Linked DNA regions of Mus musculus. The protein of the gene in region 1 interacts with the protein of each later gene in a pairwise test. Links are inferred from orthologs where the notes say so. Each region holds a gene or a part of one and is shown in the gene's direction. Other genes may lie near its edges.

What was found.
Region 2: the proteins of Chd3 (region 1) and Serbp1 interact in binary tests that used the Homo sapiens proteins (3 or more experiments, as listed by UniProt). The link is inferred for Mus musculus from reciprocal best matches to the Homo sapiens genes CHD3 and SERBP1.
Region 3: the proteins of Chd3 (region 1) and Yae1d1 interact in a two-hybrid assay, tested with the Homo sapiens proteins (2 studies listed by BioGRID and IntAct). The link is inferred for Mus musculus from reciprocal best matches to the Homo sapiens genes CHD3 and YAE1.

What each region holds. Positions count from the first base shown.
Region 1 is NC_000077.6:69,348,839-69,352,486, reverse strand, and holds part of Chd3 (chromodomain-helicase-DNA-binding protein 3), read left to right. Parts: intron 1-321; coding exon 322-387; intron 388-1,317; coding exon 1,318-1,403; intron 1,404-1,561; coding exon 1,562-1,695; intron 1,696-1,825; exon of another isoform or gene 1,826-1,969; intron 1,970-2,235; coding exon 2,236-2,380; intron 2,381-2,534; coding exon 2,535-2,697; intron 2,698-3,194; coding exon 3,195-3,316; intron 3,317-3,430; coding exon 3,431-3,566; intron 3,567-3,648.
Region 2 is NC_000072.6:67,265,530-67,269,277, forward strand, and holds the start of Serbp1 (plasminogen activator inhibitor 1 RNA-binding protein), read left to right. Parts: upstream 1-1,449; 5' UTR 1,450-1,567; coding exon 1,568-1,880; intron 1,881-3,748. UniProt on the Homo sapiens protein: Ribosome-binding protein that promotes ribosome hibernation, a process during which ribosomes are stabilized in an inactive state and preserved from proteasomal degradation.
Region 3 is NC_000079.6:17,990,788-17,994,535, reverse strand, and holds the start of Yae1d1 (protein YAE1 homolog), read left to right. Parts: upstream 1-1,184; 5' UTR 1,185-1,229; coding exon 1,230-1,355; intron 1,356-2,786; coding exon 2,787-2,908; intron 2,909-3,748. UniProt on the Homo sapiens protein: The complex LTO1:YAE1 functions as a target specific adapter that probably recruits apo-ABCE1 to the cytosolic iron-sulfur protein assembly (CIA) complex machinery. May be required for biogenesis of the large ribosomal subunit and initiation of translation.

The sequences.
Region 1 (3,648 bases):
TGTCCAAAGGGAAAGGCTGGGTGATTGGGATGGATCAGGAGACTTTTCTAAGGTCAGATGGATTCATGGGGATTTAACCATCTAGGGACTACAGAGGGATCCATGAGCACTCAGGGCTCACTGTTTAGAGTAGCTATGGCAGGAGTCACAGTGGTAAAGTATGTGTACCAAAGGCTAAAGATGGCTCAGGATGTATGACCCAGAGTCTCCAGTAGGACCAAGGACAGGGAGGAGGTGGAGAAATGTCCAAGAGGAAGACGCCAAGTGGAGAGGGCCCAGTATGGTTACTGATTACCATCGAATCCTCTCTGCCCCTCACAGACAACCAGTCAGAGTACTCAGTGGGGTCCGAGGAAGAGGATGAAGACTTTGATGAGCGTCCTGAAGGTGGCGTCTTTCTTGACTTTCTGTCTCTATTCTCTCACTTCACTTTCTAGCTTTCTTTAAGCACACTATTTTTTTTAAAAGATTTATTTTTATTTTTACTGTGTATTTTTTTACCTGTATGTATATCTGTATACTACCTGTGTGCCTGATACCTGCAGAGGCTAAAAGAGGGTGTCAGATCCACCAAAACTGGAGCTACAGATGGTTGTGAGCCACTATATGGGCGCTGGAAATTGGACCCTGGGCTCTTAACTGCTGAGCCATCTCTCTAACCCCTGCGCCCCCTATTTTTATGCAATAAAAATACTTTGGTTTTGGGTGGGAACATGGGTAGCACACACTTTTAATATCAACACGGAAAGCAGGAGGACTGTGAGTGTGAGGTGTTCTCACTACACAGGCAGCCTGTGCCTAGAAAGGAAATAAAGCCCCTTGGGTAGGAAAATTGAAGCTCACACACAGGGAGAAAGCAAAGGCCATGATCTCTCCATTGTTGAATTTGGAGTGGATAGCCCAGCTACCAGGAAGGTCAGACAGGATCGCTCAAGTCCAGGGGTTGGCGTCTTGACCAACACAACCTCGCCTGATGGTATAAACACACACACACACACACACACACACACACACACACAGAGAGAGAGGCAGAGAGAGAGAGAGAGAGAGAGAGAGAGAGAGAGAGAAACAGGAAGATTAGGTTATCTCACTTTCTCATGAGTAACATTGTCTGTCAAGTATTTGTTATTAGTTTTTAAATATGGCTTCTCTTAGCCTTAGTAGGTAGTAGTACTGAGAACATGCTTGAAAGAAAATTAGAGGTGAACGTGACACAGGCTAGCCCTGTGTATTGTGTACTATGGGGATGGATATAAGGAAGATGAAGGGCTTAGAGGAGGGGGCGTCTCCACTAATCAGTGTCACCCTTACCCTTAGGCCGTCGACAGTCAAAGAGGCAGCTTCGAAATGAGAAGGACAAGCCACTGCCTCCATTGCTGGCTCGGGTTGGGGGCAACATTGAAGTGAGACTTTGGCCTGGGCACTTTGCATGATCTCTAGGGAGAAGATGGTGGAGAGGGTGGTGGTACATTGGGAACCGAGGCTGGGCCACCAGCAGTAGAGAGGGACTTCAGGCTCCTAGTCATTCGTGGCCCCGCCTCTCTCCCCCACCCCCCTTCAGGTACTGGGATTCAATACTCGACAACGGAAGGCCTTCCTTAACGCTGTGATGCGCTGGGGGATGCCACCCCAGGACGCGTTCACCACACAGTGGCTAGTGAGAGACCTGAGGGGCAAAACGGAGAAGGAGTTTAAGTGAGTGTGGGGGACTTGGGGGTGAATTGAATTGGGGCTCAGAGCTTTGGACCTTCCTTCCTTCCTCTCGGCTACCATGTGATGTGACCTTACTCAGCTGATCACCGCCTCCCTACCTTATGTCATTACCAGGCTCTATTTCCTGGGAGGTGGGCTTAGCCTACCCCACTTCCCCTCAGCAGAGCCTAGAGTAAAGGGGCCAGGCCTCCTCCCCTATGGGAGAGAGAGGTGTTTGAAGAAGGGGCCTCACCCGGGCCGGCCTGGCTTCACATTTACCTGGCCATGATAACCTGGCAGGAGGAGCTGGTGAACAGGATGAAATGCTGACTGATGGGGCCTTGGAGCAAAGAGCTGAGTCCCAGGAGGTGCAGTGGGGGCTGATGGGGCCAGTGAGCAAGTCAGGATGCGAGGGAGAGGCCCAGGGCTGGACTCTTGGAAGCACCTGGGAGTTGAAGCTCGGGGGTCAGTGAGCTCTGCATCTTGTGCATCTGAACTCCTCCTGAGTCCTTGCAACCCTCCTCTTACCCCTGTGCCTTTCAGGGCCTATGTGTCTTTGTTCATGCGCCATCTGTGTGAGCCTGGGGCAGATGGCTCCGAAACGTTTGCGGATGGGGTCCCTCGGGAGGGGCTGAGTCGCCAGCAGGTGTTGACCCGCATTGGAGTCATGTCTCTCGTCAAGAAGAAGGTATTGGTCCTTCCTCATTGGAGCATCAGGCCAACTGTTCAGTCACTCACTGTCTTTCCTCTCTGAGCCCTGGCCAGGCTGGTGTGAGAGAGGAAACTAGAGCTTCCTACATGGCCAGTGCCAGGAACTGATCCTGGTCCCTGAACTTCCCCAGGTCCAAGAGTTTGAGCATATCAATGGACGCTGGTCAATGCCAGAGCTGATGCCTGACCCCAGTGCTGAGTCCAAGCGCTCTTCCAGAGCCTCCTCTCCAACCAAAACATCTCCCACCACTCCTGAGGCTTCTACAACCAACAGTCCTTGTACCTCTAAGCCTGGTAATTGGGAGTCTGGATTGGGGTGGGAGAGGCAAGCAGTGGTGGCCAGATGTCAGGGTGGAAAAATCTCTGCTTTCCCCTCTTACTAGGCTGTTTGTGTGATTATAGTGAGATGCATGAAGTTGGACAGCTTTATAGAGGAAATGGGTTTATTTGGGTTCATGGTTTTAGAGGTTCCAGGTCAGCAGCTGCATCTGGGGGGTGACTTTCTTGCTTGCAGAGTCCTTGCTTGCATTGTCACATGGTGAAATGCAGAGAGCATGCATGTAGATCCTCCCCTCTCTCTTCTTAAGAGCCACCAGGCTTCAACTATGGGGTCTCGCCCCATGACCTTATCTAGCCCTGGTTATCTTCTTTAAGCCCCACCTGTGAGCACTGAGGTTGGATTCCGTTCCTGCCAGTTTATTACTTTACCCTGGGCGTTAAGTTTCAACATGTGACCCTTTAGAGAGTACTTAGGTCACAGCCAAACCATAGCACTGCGCCTTCACTCACAGCTACTCCAGCTCCAAGTGAGAAGGGAGATGGTGTGAGGACACCGCTGGACAAGGATGACACTGAGAACCAGGAAGAGAAGCCAGAGAAGAACAGCAAAGTGGGGGAAAAGATGGAGGCAGAGGTGTGTGCACACCTGGTTCTCTCTGAGGAGATGGAGTGGAAAGTCTGGAGGGATCTTGGCATCAGGGTGCCTAGGAACTCTCTAGCTCACCTTGACTCTTCTGTCCTCCACCAGGTCGATTCTCCCAGCCCAGCCCCATCACTGGGAGAACGGCTAGAACACAGGAAAATTCTCTTAGAGGATGAAGCACCAGGGGTACCTGGAGAGACAGAGCCTGAACCTGGATACAGAGGAGACAGGGAGAAGTCTGGTGGGTGTATTATACCACTGATGATGGGGATTTGAGTTTTGGGGTTCCCTCTTCTGCACTTGGGGTGAGAGTAACAGCCTCT
Region 2 (3,748 bases), on another chromosome or scaffold:
GTTTGAGTGTGAATGTACCACAGTATGAGTGTAGAGATCAGAAAACTACTATGGGAATCCCATTTTGCCTTTCATTCTGTTGATCCAGGAGACGGATTCAAAGGGTTGTTTAAACTTGATTAGTTATTGGAATTTCAGCACTTGTTGTAATTTCTATCAGGACAGAACTTGGTTTACAGAATTGATGTCAACAGTCTCATAGTGCAGCTAGAAGATTGCCACTAGCACTTAAGTGTGACCTTAGTAAGTTTTATCAATTCTGACAGTTTCATCCCTGTGAGAAAGGGATAGTTATTTATCTAAAAGGATGTGAGGATGAAACATTCGTAGCACCTGCTGCCTGAGGTATGTTTTCTATTACATAATGTATCAATGGAAAAGATTTAAAATTATAGTGTGTATTGGCACTGGATTGTCTTAGTGGGATTTAAGGTTCCCAACTAATGTCAGAGTTAGCATATAATTACGAAATTAGTTTCCTCCCTTCACACATAATACCCAATGTACTATAAAACATTTCCTCTTGAGCACATTTGGGGAGCTGGAGACAGGGTTTTTTCTTATGAAATCCCTGCGGTCCTGGAACTTGCTCTGTAGACCTGGTTAGCCTTGAACTCTGCCTCCTAAGTGTTCAGATTAAAGGCATGCGCCACCACCCCAGGCTCTGGAGCACATTTTACTAACACCGCTGACCAGATACCGACAGATCAATTTATCGCGTTGATTCTAGAAAGCGTTTCCACAAACACTGTTTTAGAGGATGGCCGAGCGTGCAGTTGTGCAGTCAGGACTTAACAGCTCTTAAAGCATGGTTGCAATGACCGGAAAAGGCGCGCAACCCAATTAGTTCAACTCCTCTTTTGGATTCCTTCTGCCACGCAGATTCAACCCTGGAACTCCGTTCCACATTAAACCGAATTGCCTTGATTCGTTACGAAGGGTGGAGGGACAGCTCTAGAAATCCAACAGTCAGGGACGAGCAGCCGTGCGGTCGCAACCTACCGGAGGCTACTGTGGCACCCCCCACCCCCCGGAAGTTTTTGAGGCTCCAGTTACTAGGTCTGGGAGTCACCTTGACCCTCCCAGAAAGGTGGGGAAAGTCCTGGCCGGAGACAGAATGAGTGAAACCAAAGACAGAGAACACTTTCGTGAGCAGAAGACGCCCTCACGTTTTCCTGTTCTCAGAGGTATCTAAAGACCGAGAGTTTAAGGGTGACAAGAGCAGGTGGCAGAACTCCGCCCCGTACTCGCTTCCCCACCTTCAGCGAGCACGCTGCACACTTTCCTTGAGATCCCGCCTCTCAGGCGCGCGCGAAGAGTTGCTGCGCAGTGCACGCTGGGAGTTGAAGTTCAGGAGTAGACAGCCATCCCGGGCTAATCAGTTGTGGCCTACAGGCCCCATGGTGCCGTGCGGCGCAGGCCGCTCCCGGATGTGTGCTTGGCGCCGGAAGAGAAGGCGGCCCCCCTCTCTCGGCCCGGCCATCTTGTGGGAAGAGCTGAAGCAGGCGCTTTTGGCTCGGCGCGGTCCGCTGCAATCCGTGGAGGAACGCGCCGCCGAGCCACCATCATGCCTGGGCACCTACAGGAAGGCTTCGGCTGCGTGGTCACCAACCGATTCGACCAGCTATTTGACGACGAATCGGACCCTTTCGAGGTACTGAAGGCAGCAGAGAACAAGAAAAAAGAAGCCGGCGGGGGCGGCGTTGGGGGCCCCGGGGCCAAGAGCGCGGCTCAGGCCGCGGCCCAGACCAACTCCAACGCGGCGGGCAAACAGTTGCGTAAAGAGTCCCAGAAAGACCGCAAGAACCCGCTGCCCCCCAGCGTCGGCGTGGCCGACAAAAAGGAGGAGACGCAGCCGCCGGTGGCGCTTAAGAAAGAAGGTAAAGCCGGGCGAGGCGGTGGGGAGCCCGGGCTGGCGGGCAGGACGGGGGCGTGCGCCGCCGCTTGCTCGTGCAGGCGGCGGGGCCGCAGAGCCCTCGGAGCCCCTTCACGGTGCGGGGAACGTGGCTGGTCCCAAGTCCACGCCGCTCTCTCGGTCGCTTGCTCGCTCGCAGGCTCGGCGGGAGCCTTCCTTCCCGCCTCGGGCGGACGGAGCGTGCTCCGAGAGGGCGGCCCGGGCGTTCCCGCCGATTCCTGCCGGGCGCTAGCCTCCTGGCTCTAGGCGCTCGGGAAGCAGCGCGGGCATTGCTTCCTGCCCGGCGGGCTCCTGGCTGCCGCTGCCTGCTGTGGGCTCCTGCCCTGCCATCTTGTCCCACAATGGCGCGGACCCTCAAGGAAAGGCCCGGGCTCAGAGTTTCCACTTGGGCTGCGTCTCCGTTTGGGGGTCCCTGTTAGAGTGGAGGGAGGGAGGAGTTGCTGTTTGGGTCCCACGTGTGTGTTTTGTGTTGTGCCCTTTCGCTCTTACGTTAGAAGAAGTTCCTGTAACTTACTGGCGAGAACTAAAGTGTTGGAGAGGAGAAGAATTTAGCCCCACTCATTTTAGAGGGAGTTCCGAATAAAAAACTGGTCATTAGTGGAACCCATCTCATGTCTCCATCTCTTCTTCCAACTAACTCCCTGGAGCCCCCAGGTCATAGGGCTTTGCTTGTTCTGGGCCTCGTGGGCGAAATGAGTGCCCAGCCTGTCATGTCCCGGCAGCAGAACTCAGGCTGCAGCTTTTCCTCCGCACGTGCGTAAAGCGTGGTCGGGTCTTCATTGGCGGCTAATGGTCTCTTCAAGGGCACTAGAAGTTTCATAGTTGTTTTGATTTTAGCATTCTTCTCCATTACTGGCTTATTGTGGATGAAAAGGCAAAGCAATTAGGGGCTAAAAAAGTGAAAAATCAATAGCGAGTACATATAGAATAACCTGTGAATCTTTAAAATTGGTATTATGTTAAAGTGCCTCTCAATGCCACGTGCTCATGAAAGGAATTGTTTCTCATTAGATTGTGTTAGGTTTGAAGTTTTTTGGGGGTGGTGGTGTCTTTCAATGAAGGCTTAGAGTAAAACATCCAGTTCCTAGTAGATTTATAAAAGGGAAGAGTTCTATTAATATATTTGGAAGCATAGTCTGGAGTGTTAGAAAACATCACTTGGGCAGAAGTACTGAGCGGATTAAGCTTCTTGACATTACATAGTTGAATAAGACATTTAATTTCTGTGTTAGGGACACTAGATAGTGTTATTTAAACTACTAAAATTTACCTCCTTTATGACTGTAATTCACAGAAGTACATGAATAAGTTGAGTAAATAAAACACATCACATAGATGAACTCAAAAAATGGTCAAAACATGAAGCATGATTTTAAATTATTCAATTTTCATCACAAAGCCAATTTATGATCTTGCCTGTAAACTAGCATAAGTCATCAATGGAGGACATTTTTATTTATAGCCAGGATTACGTTTGTCATTTACTTCAGAAAACTTTTTCACAATAGTAGTCAACCTTTTTTTTAGTTACGTCCAAGTCTTCCATGGGTTGTACTGGGTATTGAACTTAGAACCTTGTCCTTGCTGGGGAAAATTTTGCATTACACATCTCAAACCCTTAGATCACTCTTTAAAACCAGAGTTGATTTTAAATAAGGTTATATATACATATGGGGAAATTTTGAATAAAACTTCCAGTTAGTGCTGTGTGGTGGTGGTTGGTAGACTTGTAAACAAAGTACCTATCTGTAAGAGTGGAAACAATTGTTAACCTATGGTGTGTCCTGTGTCTCGGGAACACAATGCTGGAATGTAATGTTTTTCTACATAAAT
Region 3 (3,748 bases), on another chromosome or scaffold:
TGTATGTAGATGCCCAGAACCAAGTTAACATCCCCCAGAAGAGCAGCAAGTGTTTGTAATTGCTGAGCCATCTCTTCAGACCCTGTCCTTTAGGGTTTATCATGCAAGGGTTGAGTTGGATTTTTTTTATTGCATTTGTTTTCATATGGTGTGTGTGTGTGTGTGTGTGTGTGTGTGTAGGTCAGAGGACAATTTGTAGGAGTTTAATCTCTCCTTCCATCACGTGGGTCCTGGTGATTGACACCGTTCCTGGGACTTTACCCACTGAGCCAACTCACAGAAGTTTTCTATCTTACTCATTTCAATCACTATTTCTATGGCTTCCTATACTGCCATTTTGCTTCTAATTAAGATCTCTATATACATACACCTTATCACATTTTATATTTGGTTTTATACATACATTTATAGGATACAAAATTCTCTCTGAAGATAAAAAGTAATAACTTTGTGTAGGGGATAACTTATTGACAGAGCATATATTCCTTATTGGCAAAACTTTTGCCTTCAGGACAAAAATGTAAAATAAACTAAAACAGTAACCTGTTTCCTCTTCCCTCACAATGATTACTTTTTTCATATCACTTACAGTCTTCAAACTATGAGTTACTTATAAGTATTGTTGGCTAACTGGCCGTTTCTACACTAATAGGAAGTCCATTGGGACTGAGAACTTTTATTCCTATAGTGCGCTGTCCCAAAATGATGAGTGATGCGAAATAGGTATTCAAAACAAATTGTCAGAAAAATTCAGTTATCACATGACAAAACAAGAACGCTACTGATGTGCAGTTCTTCAACATGAACTCCCAGCCAGAAGTTGCTAAATGCTTGAGCCACATTCCTTAACTCTCCTAGTCAAAGGCTAAGAGGGAAATTGCCAATGGACGCTGGTTTTACAAAAGTGTTCCCATTACTTAATCTCAAACCGATCCTAGAATCAGCTTTCACATTCTAAAGTTCTTGGCTGCACGTGGGCGTCCAATGCCTTCAGCACTTGCAGAAACTGAATCTCAGCCCTTGAATGGTGGGACTTAGCTTGCAGCACCCAGCTAGCCCCACGCTGCCCATCCCAGAGGCGTAGGAAGAGACCCAACCCTTAGCCTCCAAGCCGCAAGGGGAGCCGCACACGCCCCTCCGTCCCACGCCTTGTCCTTTCGTCCCGCCCCCCGAACCGGAAGCACTTGCCCGGGTTTCCGGCGGCTCCGGGACTCGTGGTGTTCCGGGCGATGTCTTGGTTTCGAGCGGCTCCGGAGAACGCGAGCCCTGGAGACCAGGACGTGTTTGACGAGGAAGCGGACGAGTCTCTGTTAGCGCAGCGGGAATGGCAGGGTCACATGCGGAAACGAGTCCAAGTAAATGGACGGGACGCGGGAGAAAGGGACTCCCAGGCGGGACCCGGGGGCTCCCTGGCAGGGGCACGCACGCAGAAGCCTGGGCGGAGGAGCGCGGGTCTCCGAGCCAGCGCGCTCCAGTGTTGCCGGGTCTTAAGAATCCTGGTTGTTTCTTGGTGCTCTTTCGGAGCCCCACCGGGTTTGGAGCAGGGACATTGACCCTACTCTACAACGTGAACTTTATTCAGTCCCTCAAGAGTGTGCAGTTTGGGGTCGGGGGAGCAGAGGAGGAGAAATGCACACCCACTAGGCTGATGGCCCGCAGAGAACGCAGTCACAGAGAGTCCAAAGTTAGGCGTGATGTTATCAAGGCTTGGAGAAGGGTGAACTGAGAATGTTGTCAAGGGAAGGTAAGGGGGAGGTAGAGAAGGGAATACTGTTCCAGCTTTACTTTAAATGCGTTATTCAATCCGGACCTGTCTTGCCATTCATTGAAACTTGCTTAGTACTATTTGGGTAGAATCGGCGCTTTTTCTGGGTGAGAACTACTTGCTAAGATCTGTCTCCACATGGGGGTGGATTCCAGAGTATAAAGACCTGCGTTCGATCCCTGGAACGTACTTTGTGGAAGGACAGAATGGGTTTCTGGAAGTTATTTTCTGACCTTCACGCTCAAGGAAGTAAATAAATGCCTCCCTCAAGAAAAATAAGTAAATATATGTTACTTAACTGTTTAAAAGATAAGAACTGCATCCACCCAATATACTAGCCATTAAATTACCCTCTTAAAGCTGCAGTTATGTCAACCCTAATTTAATGTTCCAGTAAGTTCATATTTGTTGAGCCCAGCAACCATCATATCATTACAAAAATACCATAGGAATCCAGGGCTAAACTAATAATAATAATAAGACAAATCTCTATGCCACAGTTTAGATTAGATTTCTAAAATCAGACTTCCTCTTCACTGTTCCTAAAATAGTTCCCTCTTCCCAGGCCTTGCCAGCCTCCTTATCTATCCTATTCTAGTCCGTTACCAAGAGACCAGACATGTAGTTTCCCATTTCTGTGAAGACCTTGCTAACACAGTTTTTAAAAAAAACATAACAACTGATATTTAATGTTTGCACAGTAACCCTAGATTTCCAAAGTGACTTCCCCGTGTGGCATCGAGGCATCTGCCTGTCATCGATTAGGAGAGTGAGGAAGGTAGGATAAGGAGCTCCAGGCCAGCCTGGAAAACATTTTAAAAAAATAAGACAGATCTGACAAGGAAAGATGAACCAATAATAAGATTTTAGGAGAAACATTCTGCTTTGGATTTATGTCTCTGCCATATCATAATTCAGTTAATATAGTACAAACCTAAATTTGTCTTCAAAATTGGTTCAGTGCTTTTCCTGAGAAGACTCACTTGGTGTCAGTTACAACTGGGTTTTTTCTTCTTTTTAGGAGGGTTACAGAGATGGGCTAGATGCCGGCAAAGCACTTACTCTTCAACGGGGCTTCAATCAAGGGTACAAAGAGGGTGCAGACGTCATTATAAACTATGGACTCCTTAGAGGAACACTGAGGTAATTTTAAAATTTTAAATGATGAATCATTTAGCCACAATTCTAATGAAGGTCTTTAATAGAGGTAATATGTAAAAATTCAGTGTTTAAAAGTGTTTTTCGGGGGCTGGTGAAATGGCTCAGTGGGTAAGAGCACCCGACTGCTCTTCCGAAGGTCTGAAGTTCAAATCCCAGCAACCACATAGTGGCTCACAACCATCTCTAACAAGATCTGACTCCCTCTTCTGGAGTGTCTGAAGACAGCTACAGTGTACTTACATATAATAAATAAATCTTTTTTTAAAGAAAAAAGTGTTTTTCGTGCTGTTGGGTGCATGGCTCTTCAGAATGTAAAGTACTGCTTTCAGAAGGTTTTCTAGGAGTTGTTGGTTAATTCCTCCATTTCACTAGGTGTCCCAGCTGCTTTTCTCTTGTTGCCATTTGGCAGAGCACTGATCACTCAGGAGGGGTTTTCTGCTAATAAAGAACGCTGTTTTACCTGCACACGTGATAGAGGACAGATGGTGGGTCTTTCAGCTGGAAGTCCACGGGGGAAAACCGTAATTACTGAGAGAAAGAGGTCTTGCTTGTTTGAGCCCTGAACTTTAAATACCTGTAGGATACCATAGCAATAATGGCAGAAAATAGAGCCACAAAGTCAGGTCCAATGGTGACAAAGAGTTGGGCCAGCCTCTTTGATGGGGATAGTTTTTAGACTGTCCTTATAGAGAAACAAACTGCTGCAAAGAATCACATTTAAAGAAAAAGAAAAAAATTGTTTTAAATTTTGTTGAGACTTTTAGAAAATTAAGGAGACTATATAATTGAGAAGAGGAGGTAATTCGCCAAGCATTCATTTTC